Sus scrofa: one gene and its partners. The protein of the gene in region 1 purifies or fractionates together with the protein of each later gene. This does not show direct contact. Links are inferred from orthologs where the notes say so. Each region holds a gene or a part of one and is shown in the gene's direction. Other genes may lie near its edges.

Evidence for each region. Proteins that work in one complex are often made in the same cells at the same time.
Region 2: the proteins of PRKAR2A (region 1) and PRKACB purify together in Homo sapiens (affinity purification with mass spectrometry; 6 studies listed by BioGRID and IntAct, counting the BioPlex papers as one, with this or other methods). This does not show direct contact. The link is inferred for Sus scrofa from reciprocal best matches to the Homo sapiens genes PRKAR2A and PRKACB.
Region 3: the proteins of PRKAR2A (region 1) and AKAP8 purify together in Homo sapiens (affinity purification with western blotting; 3 studies listed by BioGRID and IntAct, with this or other methods). This does not show direct contact. The link is inferred for Sus scrofa from reciprocal best matches to the Homo sapiens genes PRKAR2A and AKAP8.
Region 4: the proteins of PRKAR2A (region 1) and AKAP9 purify together in Homo sapiens (affinity purification with western blotting; 3 studies listed by BioGRID, with this or other methods). This does not show direct contact. The link is inferred for Sus scrofa from reciprocal best matches to the Homo sapiens genes PRKAR2A and AKAP9.

Annotation. Positions count from the first base shown.
Region 1 is NC_010455.5:31,514,206-31,518,458, reverse strand, and holds the start of PRKAR2A (cAMP-dependent protein kinase type II-alpha regulatory subunit), read left to right. Parts: upstream 1-1,453; 5' UTR 1,454-1,454; coding exon 1,455-1,707; intron 1,708-4,253. UniProt on the Homo sapiens protein: Regulatory subunit of the cAMP-dependent protein kinases involved in cAMP signaling in cells. Type II regulatory chains mediate membrane association by binding to anchoring proteins, including the MAP2 kinase.
Region 2 is NC_010448.4:129,545,196-129,548,695, reverse strand, and holds part of PRKACB (cAMP-dependent protein kinase catalytic subunit beta), read left to right. Parts: intron 1-1,098; coding exon 1,099-1,225; intron 1,226-2,139; coding exon 2,140-2,235; intron 2,236-3,500. UniProt on the Homo sapiens protein: Mediates cAMP-dependent signaling triggered by receptor binding to GPCRs.
Region 3 is NC_010444.4:62,228,560-62,232,059, forward strand, and holds part of AKAP8 (A-kinase anchor protein 8), read left to right. Parts: intron 1-228; coding exon 229-275; intron 276-1,504; coding exon 1,505-1,538; intron 1,539-3,404; coding exon 3,405-3,492; intron 3,493-3,500. UniProt on the Homo sapiens protein: Anchoring protein that mediates the subcellular compartmentation of cAMP-dependent protein kinase (PKA type II).
Region 4 is NC_010451.4:72,052,626-72,055,398, forward strand, and holds the end of AKAP9 (A-kinase anchor protein 9), read left to right. Parts: intron 1-321; coding exon 322-461; coding exon of another isoform or gene 462-508; exon of another isoform or gene 509-1,726; coding exon 1,727-1,761; 3' UTR 1,762-2,273; downstream 2,274-2,773. UniProt on the Homo sapiens protein: Scaffolding protein that assembles several protein kinases and phosphatases on the centrosome and Golgi apparatus. Required to maintain the integrity of the Golgi apparatus. Required for microtubule nucleation at the cis-side of the Golgi apparatus.

The DNA of each region.
Region 1 (4,253 bases):
GGTGTGCATGAAGGGGCAACTTGGGAAATAGCATGGCTTCTCCAGTTTCACCTATGCCCTCTCCCCAGGGGCAAAGGATATCTGTGCCTTGTGGTCTGCTCAACACCATTAAAGTACTGCTGGCCCAGGGTGGAATATAGGGATAGAAGAGATATCCAGACCTAGTCCTGGGAATCCTGATTGTATTGCTCAAGAGGAGAAAAAGGCACAGTGGTCATTCCTGCTCTGGGACTTTCTCTTTCTCTCTTGCTCTCTCTGATTTTTGTTGTTGTTGTTGTTCTACCCAGTTTTGTGGAGGGTTTCTTGCCCTTTTTTGGAGGCTTAAGTTCTTCTGCCAGTGTTCAATAGATGTTCTGTGCGAATTGTTCTATGTGTAGTTTTGTTTTTTTGATGCGTGTGCCACTTCCAAGTTGAGCTCTGCGGTCCTGCAAGCCGTAGAGCACATGGAGTGGGAGTTGTCAAAAAACAACTTTCTTTTGTGGGAGAAGGTGAGGGAGACATCTTAACTCCTCTGCCATCTCGATCCTTCTCTCCTGCTCTGGGTCTTATTCCCTTTTCTCAAGGAACATGTTTGACCTTCTGAGCTCTTCCAGGCTTATTTATCTGCCTTTGGCTCCAAAATTACTATATCACTGAAACTCCTCCTATCTACAAGGTCTTCTCCCTTTGACATCTCACAGTCTTCCTGCCAAGACTTCTGAGGGGCCTATGGTCATGCCACTATTCCACCCTGAGGTCTGGGTGGTTCTGACTTTACCAGGTCTTTGCACTTACTGCCCTCTAGGCCACATGGCTTTTCTTCAGATGCTCCTATGGCCAGATCCTGCCCAGGCCTCTGAGCCAGCTTAAATGCCATCCCCTAATGTGGGCCCTCTTGCTCTGCACTATAGCTGGAACCACTCTGAGGTGGTAATGTGCATTTTTACGTTGACTCTCGGTTATGTCCCTGGCACTTAGTAAGGGCTAGCAAACGGGAGGATCCTAGGGTGTGTTGAAAGTAGAAATTAAAAATAAGCGGCGCCAATGGACCCGCTTAACGGGAAAACCATTAATTGCTGCGCCTTGCGGAGAGACTGCCCGGCAGGCCCGGTGGGCTATTGGCGCACGCGCACTGAGGGCCAGAGCGCTGGCGGGAGCGCGCACGCCCGCGGCAGCGTGCGTCACAACCCGGGCTCCTGCCCCGCCCGTCCCGCTTGCCCGCCTGTCGGTACCCGCGGCTACGGCGGCGGCTGCCCAGTGACAGCGGCGGCGGTACCAGGCCGGCCGGAGTAGCGTAGGGTGGCGTGACCCGGAAACGCACACCCGGCCAAAGGGCGACCTGGCGCGAGGGGGGCCCAGCCCAGGTCGCGCGTGAGGAGACCTCGCGGGTGCCGGGCGGGAGGCCGGCGTGAGGGAGCGCCCAGACAGTGGCTGCCGGCGGCCGGGTCCTGCCTGTCCTCGCGGCCGCCGCCGGCATGAGCCACATCCAGATCCCGCCTGGGCTCACGGAGCTGCTGCAGGGCTACACCGTGGAGGTGCTGCGGCGGCAGCCACCCGACCTGGTCGACTTCGCGGTGGACTACTTCACCCGCCTGCGCGAGGCCCGCTCCCGAGCCTCCACCCCACCCGCCGCCCCTCCTTCCGGCTCCCAGGATCTAGAGCCCAGCTCTGGCCTTGTCACCGACGCGATCGCGGACAGCGAGTCGGAGGACGACGAGGACTTGGACGGTAGGAGGCAGGCTGGGCCAGGGGTCGCGGTGGGGGGGTCGAAGGAGCAGTGGCGGGTCGGGTAGGGGTCTCTAGGAGTTCCAGAGGGGGCTTCGGGGGCTAGGCCTGCAACCCTGGGCCCGGGACCTTGAAGCTCTCGAGCGGAGTTTGTCTGGGTTCCCGAACGGCGGGCTTGATCCCCGCGTGTGCCACTTCCAAATTGAGCTCGGCAGTCCTGCGAGCCGTAGAGCGCACGGAGTGGGAGTTGTCAGATTCAGCTCAAGAGAAACGTGCGCGCTTTCGGCCCGCATGCTGGCGCGGGGCCGGAGGGGCGTGGAGCCCACGGCTGCTTGGCCTCTGCTGGAGACCCTTCGCCCACTTTCGTTCCGAAGACAAGAACATTCACATCCACTGACTCATATTTCATAGCCAGGAAGGTAACTTTGTCTGGAAAGAATTCATTTTGTGAAGTTATTGTGAAAAACTTCGAGCATATACAAAAATAGAGAGAAAATGTGAAATGAACCCCCTATATGCCATCACCCCCATTACACAGTTGAAAGATCTGTCACAGATGTTTCAGCTGTATTTTTTTTTTCCTCTTTGCTGAAGTATTTTAAAGCAAATTCCAGCATTTCACCCTTGGTCCTTGAGTATGCATTTCTTAAAGTACGGATCCTGGAAAGAAAAAAAACCCTATATATATAATATCTATCTATCTATATATATATATATATACACACACACACATAATAATATAATAATAATTTATATATATATATAAATTTGGCTAAGATAATTGGATCAAATAAATTTGATGAGGGTAAACAATAACTTTTTTTAGCATACGGGTTGCAGGAAAGAGAACAGTAACACTTTCTATATATATTTAAGCAGGGTTGTCAGAAAGCAATTCCATTTTCCTTGGTTGCTTCAACATAGGCTTTGTCAACTTAACAATAGAATTACCCTACTTTTGAACAGCCAGATTTTTTGAACTCATTTTAAAAAATTAAATTATAGGAGTTCCCGTTGTGGCGCAGTGGACAAATCTGACTAGGAACCATGAGGTTGCAGGTTTGATCCCTGGCCTTGCTCAGTGGGTTAAGGATCTGGTGTTGCCCTGAGCTGTGGTGTAGCTTGCAGACTCGACTTGGATCCCACGTTGCTGTGGCTCTGGTGTAGGCCAGTGGCTACAGCTCCGATTAGACCCCTAGCCTGGGAACCTCCACATGCCACAGGAGCGGCCCTAGAAAAGGCAAAAAGACAAAAAAAAAAAAAATTAATTATAGTTGATTTACAATGTGTCAATTTCTGCTGCACAGCAAAGTGACTCAGTCATACACACACACACACACACACACATATATACACACATATATATGTATATATATACACACACACACACACATTCTTTTAATATTATTTTCCACCATGGTCTGTCCTAGACTGGATATAGTTCTCTGTGCTATACATAGGACTTTATTGTCTACCCATTCTAAATGTAATAGCTGGCATCTATTAACCCCACACTCCCAGCCCATTCCACTCCCTTCTCCCTCCCCTAGACAGTCAGAAGTCTGTTCTCCATGTGTGTGAGTCTTGGACAGCCAGAATTTAACAAAAAAGTGAAAACATTTGCAGGACAGAGTTAGAGACTTAGTGTTGCTAGATCATATTGGAGAAAAAAAACCCCAACAACCTAGTTCTGAATTGAATCCATATTCAAGTCAGACTGGCAGGGAGTTAATTATTGGTCATTGCTGTTAGAGGTTGTAAGCTTCAGTTTCTGGACAGCTTTCCTAAGTTTATTCATACCAAGTGTGGAAATTGCTTTTCTGGGTTTCCCCTGACTTAATACACATTAAATTATGGGTTTTTCACCTTGAACCTGGAAATCAGAAATTATTTTCCAACTCTGCCACCAGATCTCTGCCACAGAAGTGTTTGGTGGCCCAAGACAAAGCTGCGGAACCTGTTTGATTTTAAATTCACTTATCTTTAAAATAGGTACAGTGACAACAACTTCCTAGGGATAAATTGGTTTTTTATTTGTTTTTGCTTTTTGGCTACATTTGTGGCATGTGGAGGTTCCCAGGCCAGGGATTGAACCCGTGCCACAGTTGTGACTTGCACCATAAATGTGTGGCAAAACTGGATCCTTAACCTGATACACCACAAGGGAATTTCTGGGATAAATATGTTTTTAAAAGCTTTGTTTCAGGAGTGAATCCTACATTTGTTTCACTGTCATAACTATACAACACAAAGCTATAATCTGCTTTGTGACAATTTTTATTTACACAGAACAAATATTCTGTTAGTCCCGGATGAGTAAAACAGAGTTTACAAGTTTTGTGTTATATCTTCATTCTGTGTCATCTTTAATTAATCTTTTTCAAAATTGAGTTGGCTTAAATCTTTGTAACTGTGCTTTATTTTATTGGTATATAAATATTCTTTTGTTTATATCTCTTAAGTTGCTGTACTAAATATAATTATAGAAATCAACACAGAGTGAACTTCTATTTACAGATAATAGACTAAAAATACACTGCACACAGTGG
Region 2 (3,500 bases), on another chromosome or scaffold:
TGGGATGGGGCTGGAACTGAAAGGGTATTATAAAATATTGCCACAAAAGAAGTGTGTTTCTTCACATTATTCATTCAGCAGATATTTGCTAAGCACTTGGTATATATCAGGATGTGACCTTGGAAATACAGTGAATGACAAGCAAAAGGAACAGCATATACAGTCTTTTTTTAGAATTCCTATTTCTGCTGCTACCAGATCACACTCATGCCAACCATCTTGAGGGAAATTCTATTCATAGTTGAAGTTGTTCACTGAGGACACAAATCTGAAAGTCATTGCATTTGATCAGGGAGATTAACAGAATTCAGTGTATACAATAGAAGATGAACTAGAAACACACTAGAAAATCAGTACATCCTTTTGGAGTAATACTCAGAATATGGCATCAAAATTACACTAATCCATCAGTTAGTTGAATCTATGCATCAAGAACTGTGTGTATTTACACAAATAAACAGATTATTCCTGTGTTTTAGCAAACATGCATAGTAAAAGATTTGGAAATTCAGATACCAAGATTGAATCTGTGGTTTCTGAATGAGATTATTGGTATCCTTATTCTTCATTAATTTTTTTTTTCCTATAATGAGCATGTATCACTTTTGTAATGGGAACAGCCTGGGTAAAAATGGCATAAATCTGCAGATTAATGCAGTTAGAGATTTCTGTGAAATGAAATTCTTTAAGTATTTGAAATGTATGAGAAAGGTAGGTAGATGGAACCTATCAACAGCAGCAATGGCCTGACAGTCTAACTGGTACTTTTCAATCATTCTCAAGGTCAGATATAATTATAAAGACACCAGTAACTTCTAATATGGTCAGCAATAATTGAAAATACAGTGAAAATCTGAGAGTTACATTTTTCAACATTTGCTGTCTACTAAGCAGATCAAAGTATTATTTAAAGATGATTTATAGATTTAATAAATATTTGGAAACTAACGAGATTCTTGACATGTTTAAAAGGAAAAAAAAAAAAAAAACAAGTTTTGCTCCCAAAACACTATTACCTCATGTTATTTTTTTGTATAATCTACTAACTGCTATATGTTAAACCATTTTACCAAAAGTCAATGTTTTTTTTCTTTATAGTGAACCCCATGCACGGTTCTATGCAGCTCAGATAGTGCTAACATTCGAGTACCTCCATTCACTAGACCTCATCTACAGAGATCTAAAACCTGAAAATCTCTTAATTGACCACCAAGGTTATATCCAGGTATGACGTGAACACATTATGTATAATGTATTTGAGAAAATACTAGGTAATAAGTTGTCTGTATTTAACCACACCTACCAATACTGGATTTTTTTTTTTCCCCTTTGGGGTAGACAGTTCTTCCTAATAGCTTAAATCTAGCTCATAGTTCTGTCACTATTACAGAAAACTAAGAGTTCCATTGAAGATAAAATCTGTTTTTATCCCCCAGATTCTATAGCTGTGAGCTGAGCACAGGCTCCTGCCTAAAGAAGTAATAGCTAAATTTGTGAGTACTCATTTAGTGCCAGGCATTATTTTAAGTGTCTTACTTACATCATCTCTATTAATTCTGATAAGACAATGAAGTATAACTACTACTATTATCTTCATTTTAAGGTTAATGAAATTAGGGCACAGCAAGGAAACACAGGTAGAGTTAGAATTTGAACCCAGACAGTGTGTCTCAAGAATCCGTGCTTTGTAAAGCTATGGTACAGCTGCCAAAGGAACCCCAGCTACCAATATTGAACTGGTAGCAGTGTTTTTCTTTCCATTTCTGCTGTTAATAGAATGGCACTCCTTTTTACACAGTTATCAATAGATTCTCCCAATGATGCTTTTGCACTTCTGATGCTGTATTTAACGGCAGAGGACATGCTAGACTTAAGGAACACTCCTATCATTGCTTCATTTTTATTAAAACCTTTTTTTTTTTTTTTTGGTTCATTTGTTTCTTTCTTTGAGTCAAGAAGGTTAAAGTATAGGTTGCTTTAACACTTCATTCACTAAATAGTGGCCTTCTTGGACTAGTCTCAGTTGCTCTGACTTAATTTTTTTTCATAGTATTAAGTTTAACACTGATTTTTAACTTTCAACTTAGGTACAGTAAATAATAAATGTTCACAAGTATTTGGGTTTTTTTTCTTTTATAGGTCACAGACTTTGGGTTTGCCAAAAGAGTTAAAGGCAGAACCTGGACATTATGTGGCACTCCAGAATATTTGGCTCCAGAAATAATTCTCAGCAAGGTATATTTATAATGTTGTTATGTAAGAAGTAGAAATATAAGGCATATGCTATCCAGTATTCTATGATGGTCTATGTGGGGAAAGAATCTGGAAAAGGATGGGTGTGTGTATATGTATAACTGAATCACTTTGTTGTACAGCATAAATTACCATAATATTGTAAATCAACTATACTTAAGAAAACGAAAAAAGAAAAAATAAATATAAGGCATGCATCACTGTGGATTTTTATTTTAAAAAACAGTTTACTGATCAAATTTTATGTTTATTTAATCTAAATTATGAATTTTATCTGTGCATAATTACTAAAAAGTAATTATTTAGAGTCTACCACTAATCCTAGAAGCTGTCAGTTTTAACTCTGGATCTGAGAGAATTAGTAGGACTAAATCTGACCTCTAGATCCATGTTTTGAAGCCAAAAGCATAGCCTTTTCATAATTACTTCTAATAAGAAGAGGGGAGGGAAGCCTTGCTCTGCATTATATACACCAAGAGGCAAACTAAAGATAACGTGTACTAGTTGTCACTTCTTCCTTTGTTTCAACTTTACCACTTAAATGAAAGAACTATATGTGAATTATTTTTTTAAACTTTAGTTTAAAAATAGTATTATAGCAAATGAATATAATCTTAAGACAGTTCTACTTTTCTAAACAGAGAAAATGTGATGAGAAATTTTTAATCATATCTGAAATGATGTTTTAACCTCTGTTTTCCTTTCTTCTGCCATCCTTTGGTGGAGAAAGCCAGAAAAGAAAAACTGATAATTGGGCATAGACAGGAACCAGGAAAGAGAAAGAGAACCTGCCTCAATACTTAGACACTCAATAACTACCTTCTGAATAATTCAAATTTGGCTAACCTATAGAAGTGTTAGAATAAAATAAAAGAATTATTTCAGCTTTATTCTCATTATCTTTCATGATTTAAATCATCTATAACTATACTCTGGTTTCTCTCCAGATCATATAAATCTTTCACCTTTTTAAATCATCTATAACTTTGTCTTTTATAATCTAAATTTCATTGCTAATAACATATTTCTTCTTCAAGTGCATTTAACAAATAAGGTGTTTGTCATAAGCACCAAAACTTTAAAAAATGTGTTTATATGTATGAAGAAATATTCATTGTATGGAATCAGGAAAATACAGAAAAATAAAAATAATCAAGAAAGCTATAGTCTCACCACCCAGAGGTAGCCTTTTTAAAAACATCTTAATATATTTTCTTATGCATGTTATATCGAATGTACAATTTTGT
Region 3 (3,500 bases), on another chromosome or scaffold:
TATAGGCCAGGGTGGGTATAAGATGAGTTAGCTGTATGCTTGGTGTTCTGTGGTCCTGTCTGGACATTGGACACAAGGGACCTCAAGGGGGGTCGGGTGCCATTTGCACTCCCACAAACCCTCTGCAGTCAGGACAAGCACAGTCATTCTAGACAGTGAGTTTGGGGGGTGAAAATGGAGTGGGCCAGTTGCCGAGGGGCTGACTTCCTATTTCTTTGTGTCTGGTAGATGATGGAGCTGGTGACTTCCGGTCAGGAGATGAAGAATTCAGGGGCGTAAGTTTGCCTTTACTGATCAACCTCTAGTGTCTCTTATGTGGGATTTTTTCCTTACTTCAGTGTTCTCCTCACAAAGAGGCAAGAACAGTTACTCTACTTCATGAGTAAATTTAATAATCAGGCTTGCAGCCAGGTTTCTAAGACTTTTCCACTTGCAACAGCCCTCCTTTTTCCTGAAAACATCCCCAACCTTCTCTCCAGCTATTCCTCTGTCCTTGTAGTGACACACCTAGCTGCACACTGGTAACTGTAGTGGTTGTGTGAGCTGAGGCTTTCAAACAGGCACTGAAAACTCAAGTGCTGCCAGTTCTGTGCTGGTGCTGAGCTGCATCCTTGTCATTCAGCTCTTAAAACTAGTCATAGGTCAGAGAGCCTGTTGTGGATCAGCAGTAGTGAACCCAACTAGTGTCCATGAGAATGGGTTCAATCCCTGGCTTCGCTCAGTGGTTTACGGAATCCAGTTTTGCTGTGGCTGTGGTGTAGGTCGCAGATGCAGCTTGGATCTTGTGTGGCTGTGGTGCTGGCCAGCAGCTCCAGCTCCAATTCAGCCCCTAGCCTGGGAACTTCCACATGCCACAGATGCAGCCCTAATAGGCAAAAAAAAACTAGTCATGGGAGATGGTTATCAAAGGCTGACTCTTAGCCAAGACCATATACAAGCATGTGGGGAGCAATCCTTTGCCACCCCCTGCAAATTCTGATTCAACTCTAAGGTAAGGCCTGGAAATCTGGGCATATGAAGGCTTTATCCACTTGCTTCTGATGTGTTTGGGGCAGGGAAGAGGGGAGCAGGATACAGTGAATTTTCAACTTTTCTGAGGGTCTTGCTTCCTTTCTGTCTAGGATTTCTTAGATTTTCGAGTCTGGGAATCTCTGCATATCTGTTGATGACTAATTTAATTCTCAACTTGATGTCTAAGGAGTGGCTTCAGTTTCAGTTTTCAGTTAGATGATTTTATCTGTAGCTGACTTGTTATAACTTTTGATAAATACAAATAAGTAGAAAAAAAGTAAGTTAGTCATTATCACAGAATCTCAGAAAGCAACCAGGAGTAATGACAGGACACGCAGGCTCCATCCCATGGCCCTAGGACTTGTCCTGGTACATTGTGGCTCTGTTCCTAGTGGCACAGTGACCACCTGGTGGTGGCAGGTAGCTAGGCCAGTTACGGAGAATTCTGGAAATTCCACCTCACAGTCCAACTTTGTATGTGCCCTTTTTTTAGGAGGACGAATTCTTCGACCCTGGGAAGCAGAGAGGTAGGCATCACCCAGCGTCCCTTTGAGCTTTCTTGTGTCTGCCCAGCTACCCTGCACTCGCTGCCTAACCCCCAGCTGGGCTGGGCTTCTGAGCAAGCCCAGGGCCTGGATGGAGGGGCTAGCAACTCAGGGCAAAAGAGGGGCCATGGCTACCAAGTGGGCCTTGGCCATGCCACTCACCCTGAGGTTTTGCCTCAGTGTTTGGACAACACTTGCTGGAAACAAATCTGGTTGCCTCACTCAGTGCAGGCTACAGAGACGGGGAAATTCATCTCTGGATGTCTGCAATAGTGGTAGGGAAGAGAGAGTTTCAGAAGTACAAGAAGGAAAAGAAAAAGCGCCCTCCAGCCTGTCTTCTCCGTTCCCTCCTTGGCCAGGGCAGGTCTGTGTGCTGTACACTGTGTACTGTTTCTCCTGGGCTTTATTCTGTCCATAGTTCTTACCAGACCAGAGCCATGCCCTCAGCCTCAATGAGGGGGACATGGGCACTGCGTGGGTCAGTTTGGACAGCTGCCTGGGTTGGGAGCTGGCGGTGGGGGAGGGGGGGCCTGTTTAGGCACATTCCAGCCCAGATCCTGCAGAGGCAGTCACTACTACATCAGGTCTTGCTAGTTTCAGTGCAAGTACAGAGCAATGTTAACCCGCCCCCGCCCAGGGGGAGCATGGAGAAGCGGCCACTTCTTTTCCTGTTCCTGTGGGTCCATCCATAGCTGGTTTCCCCCAAGAATCATAGGCTGGCTCCTTTGTGACTCTACTCCCATAAATTCCAAAGGCCTCTGGTTTAGATGTTCCTTTTTATATGTTCAGGTTTAGCCAACCCTCTGAGGCCCTCCTATCCTGTTTATTGACGTGATTATGTCTATAGCATGGGACCACACAGCATTTAGCAGCTCGTGCAGCAGGGTAAATGCTAAAGCAAAGGTGACATGTTTGTTGCGCGCAGGTCCTGCTACCTACCCGGGATGACTTTGCTTTAAACAGCAGTAATAGTTTCAGGCAGTGACCTCTTGCCAAAAATCCCACACGCCCTTTTGAGAGGCTTCTGAGCAGCGCACGCCGGTCGCCATCTTCGTGGGACAGTCTCGTGACTGGCATCAGGGGTAGGGGTTACAGTTCAGATGCTTATCCAACCTTTTTTCAGTGTCTGGCCCTGGCCTCAGGCTGGGACTCTGGGCTGCACAGCTCTCAGAAGAGCTCTTACACTGGCCCCATGGGATGGATGGAGGACCACTTGGTCTCTTCCCACTTTTGTTTTTGGGATTGTTTCCCATGTATCCCTGGGAAAGCCCTAGATTGATGGTTTTTGTGAGTGGAAGATAGAATTTGGGCCACCAGGGATTATCAGACCTGCTGAGGCCCTAGTTCAGAGGAGGCTGACGGGGCAATTATTATGGTCCACTGAGAGGTGGGACGGAGGGCGGTAAAGTGGCTTACTTTATTTCCTGAGGCCTTCCAACTGCTGCCTCTTTATCTGGGAAGAATTGCTTCTCTCTCTAAAGTAATGTTGGGAGAAGACCCAATGGTAGGGCGCTGGACTGGAAAAAGCAAGATAGGGAAGGACAGAGAGAGCAGGCAGGCCATGGTGTGAGTGGGATGGACAGGATGTGTCCCTGGCTCATCCCAGTCTTAGCAAGCCATGGGGGGAGTGAGGTGACTCCCTGGGGAACTACTGAGGATTCATCGCAAAGGCCCATCCCTGTTGGGAGCCTTTGACGCCCCTTGGTGCCTCAGGGTGTCTTGACCCTGCCACGTGTGGAAGCAGTGGCAGGGCATGGGGTATGGTGGCCAAACTAGCCCCCATCAAGGCCCTGGTGCTCAGCTCCTGTGAACTCCTCAGAGTGTCTCGAAGGGACTTCTCTGTTGCAGGAGAGAAGGATGATGAAGATGATGAAGTAAAGAAGAAGAGGGAAAAGCAAAGGAGAAGAGACAGGATGCGAGACCGAGCAGCTGACAGGTAAGGTG
Region 4 (2,773 bases), on another chromosome or scaffold:
CATTGACTAAAATTGGTAGTTTCCAGAATTATGAAAAAAAACTCTAAAGTTTGCATAAGGTGCATTTATATGTTTGCAACATTTATTGATGGCCTTGGCAACAGGCAGTGTGCTGGACATTCTTTTGATGACTTAGTATCTGCTTCGAATTTATTGAGGAGTTTTTTTCCTTTATACATGGCAAACTCAGACATATGAGGGATATAGATGAGGCAGAGTACCAGTGGTCTACCTTTTGAAGGCAAGGTGGAGCTCGACTGGCACATTGCTTGCATTGTTTTTGGATAGTTTGGATTCATGTTCGTATTTTTTATCTCATAGGTACCCAGGCACTCCAGCTGATTTAAATCCCAGTTCTTTAGCATGCTCTCAGCTTCAGAATTATGATCCTGACAGAGCCCTGACAGATTATATCACTCGGCTAGAGGCGCTACAGAGACGGCTTGGAACTGTACAGTCAGGTACCCTCAGCTTAACCAAGTACTGGCAGCACCATGGTGCTAGATAGACCCAGAACTCTTTCTTTTCTTGAAATTCCTTGACCTTCCTCATTAGGACAATCAAATCTTAAACTTGAGTATGAGTTACCAAGCTAGATTTAGGAATTTAAGCCAAAACTTGATTTATCACCCTGGATCCCACTCTCCTGCTTATCTCATTAAGACAATTGATTAGGTGAAGTACATGATGAGCATCTATGTACAAAGTACTCTGAGACACACAGAGTTTCTGCTGGAGAATTTGCTGCCAAGTGATACATGCTGAGGCATCCAAATAAGAGCTGGGGAGATGAGAGGAGGAAGCAAGTGCTTTTTATATGTGATCCAAGAAACCCATCCTATTCAAAGGACTGTGCAAGAATGACCTTTTATTGTCTCTGCTAAAAACAAAAAAAAACAGGAAAAGGGAGGGGGAAAGAAAACCACACAAAAATTTTTTTGTACTTAGTAAATGTGGAATCCCTTCCCTTTTTATTGTGGGAAAAAACCTCTCTTCTCTGTCTCTCAATTCACTCCTGATTCAATGGTCTTGAATCATTTTAATTTAATGAGCTTTAAGTCAGTTTATATGTATGTATGTGTATATGTATATTTTCCTTTTATTAAAGACCCTTTTTTCCTACTATTCCCACAAAATAGATAGGACTAATAGCCAGTTATTTTAAATTAGTAGTTTGCCTCTTCATATAAGAAATTGTCTAACCCAAGCAACTTATAGTTGTAGGAAGCAATTATCATAGCAGGACTTGGTTGGCCTGAGCATTTATATTTCACAAGACCCAGATTTTTAAGACCAAGAGGTATTTCAAGAGGCAAGAGGTATAGAACATTCAACCTGCAGGGCACTTTACAGAGAATCTTATCATTAATCTCACTTAGCATGCCCTGGAGCCAGCCACGGTGAGTTTTGAATATATGTTCAAGGTCTCCTATTGTGTAAGCCAGCTGCTACAGCTCTGATTCCACCCCTAGCCTAGGAATCTCCATATGCCCTAAAAAAAGACACACACAAAAAAGAGTCTCTTTTAAAAATCAGTTCAATTCTGAATAAGATTATTTTAGGCAGAAAAAAGTTTTTAAAAATGGTGCCTCCTTCTGCCCTTCATGGAGTCAGACGCGCTACCATTGCGCCACAAGGTCCCTCTTCTGCCCTTTATGAACTGGTTAGTCTGATTTAAGTCACAATCTCATTGAAATCACTGAAGTATCCTATTTCTATGTTACAGGTTCAACTCAGTTTCATGCTGGCATGAGAAGATAATCCTTTGAAACATGAATCAAAGTGATTTTAAACAAATTCCCTTTTGTAAATCAATGGTTCTTTTGTGCTTTTGTATTGTGGATATTCACCGGGACCAATACAAACACAGCTTATGATTGTATACAAATCCCTTGCCAGCACATGAAAACAAACTGGATTCTGTACATATAAGCATTGTGTATGTATTCATGCACAATAATCATCAAATTACATGTATATTTGTGGAATGCTAATTTAAATGATTAAATTATAAACCTTGTGTATTTATCAAATGGGTGAAAAGATTAAACTTTTGCGCATTATGATACTGTTGAATGTGTAGCTCGAGGTGTCCTGCACTTTTCTTATAAGGCTACTGAAGTTACATGTTACTGCCTAATATATTTGCTACTGGTGATAAAGACAGATAATATCACTTGTAGAGACCTATTTTTGTATAATGGTAGAAGTTTTGGATTTTATGGGGTATTTTGTCAAGTACTGAAATAAAAATGACTTCACCATTTTAACTACACTGTATTTGAACCTTTTTTTGTTTTCATTTTTTTGGTTTTTAGGGCCACACCCACAGCATATGTAAGTTCCCAGGCTAGGGGCTGAATCAGAGCTACAGCTGCTGGCCTGCACCACAGCCACAGCAACACCAGATCTGAGCTGCGTCTGCCACCTACACCACAGCTCATAGCAACGGCTGGATCCTTAACCCACTGAACAAGGTCAAGGATCAATCCCACATCCTCATGGATACTAGTCAGGTTTGTTTCCAGTGTGCCATAATGGAAACTCCTGAACCTTCATTTTTAAGCCACAGTTCATGGTGCATGTCTTATTAGTCTGTTCAGGTCACCATAACAAAATACCATAGCCCGGGTGGCTTACAAAAACAGCAGAGATTTCTCACTGTTTTGGAGGCTAGGGAAATCCAAAATCAAAACACAGCAAATTTGATGTCTGGAGAGAGCCTGCTTTCTGACTTCCTAACTGCCGTCTTCCTGCTCTGTCCTCACATGGC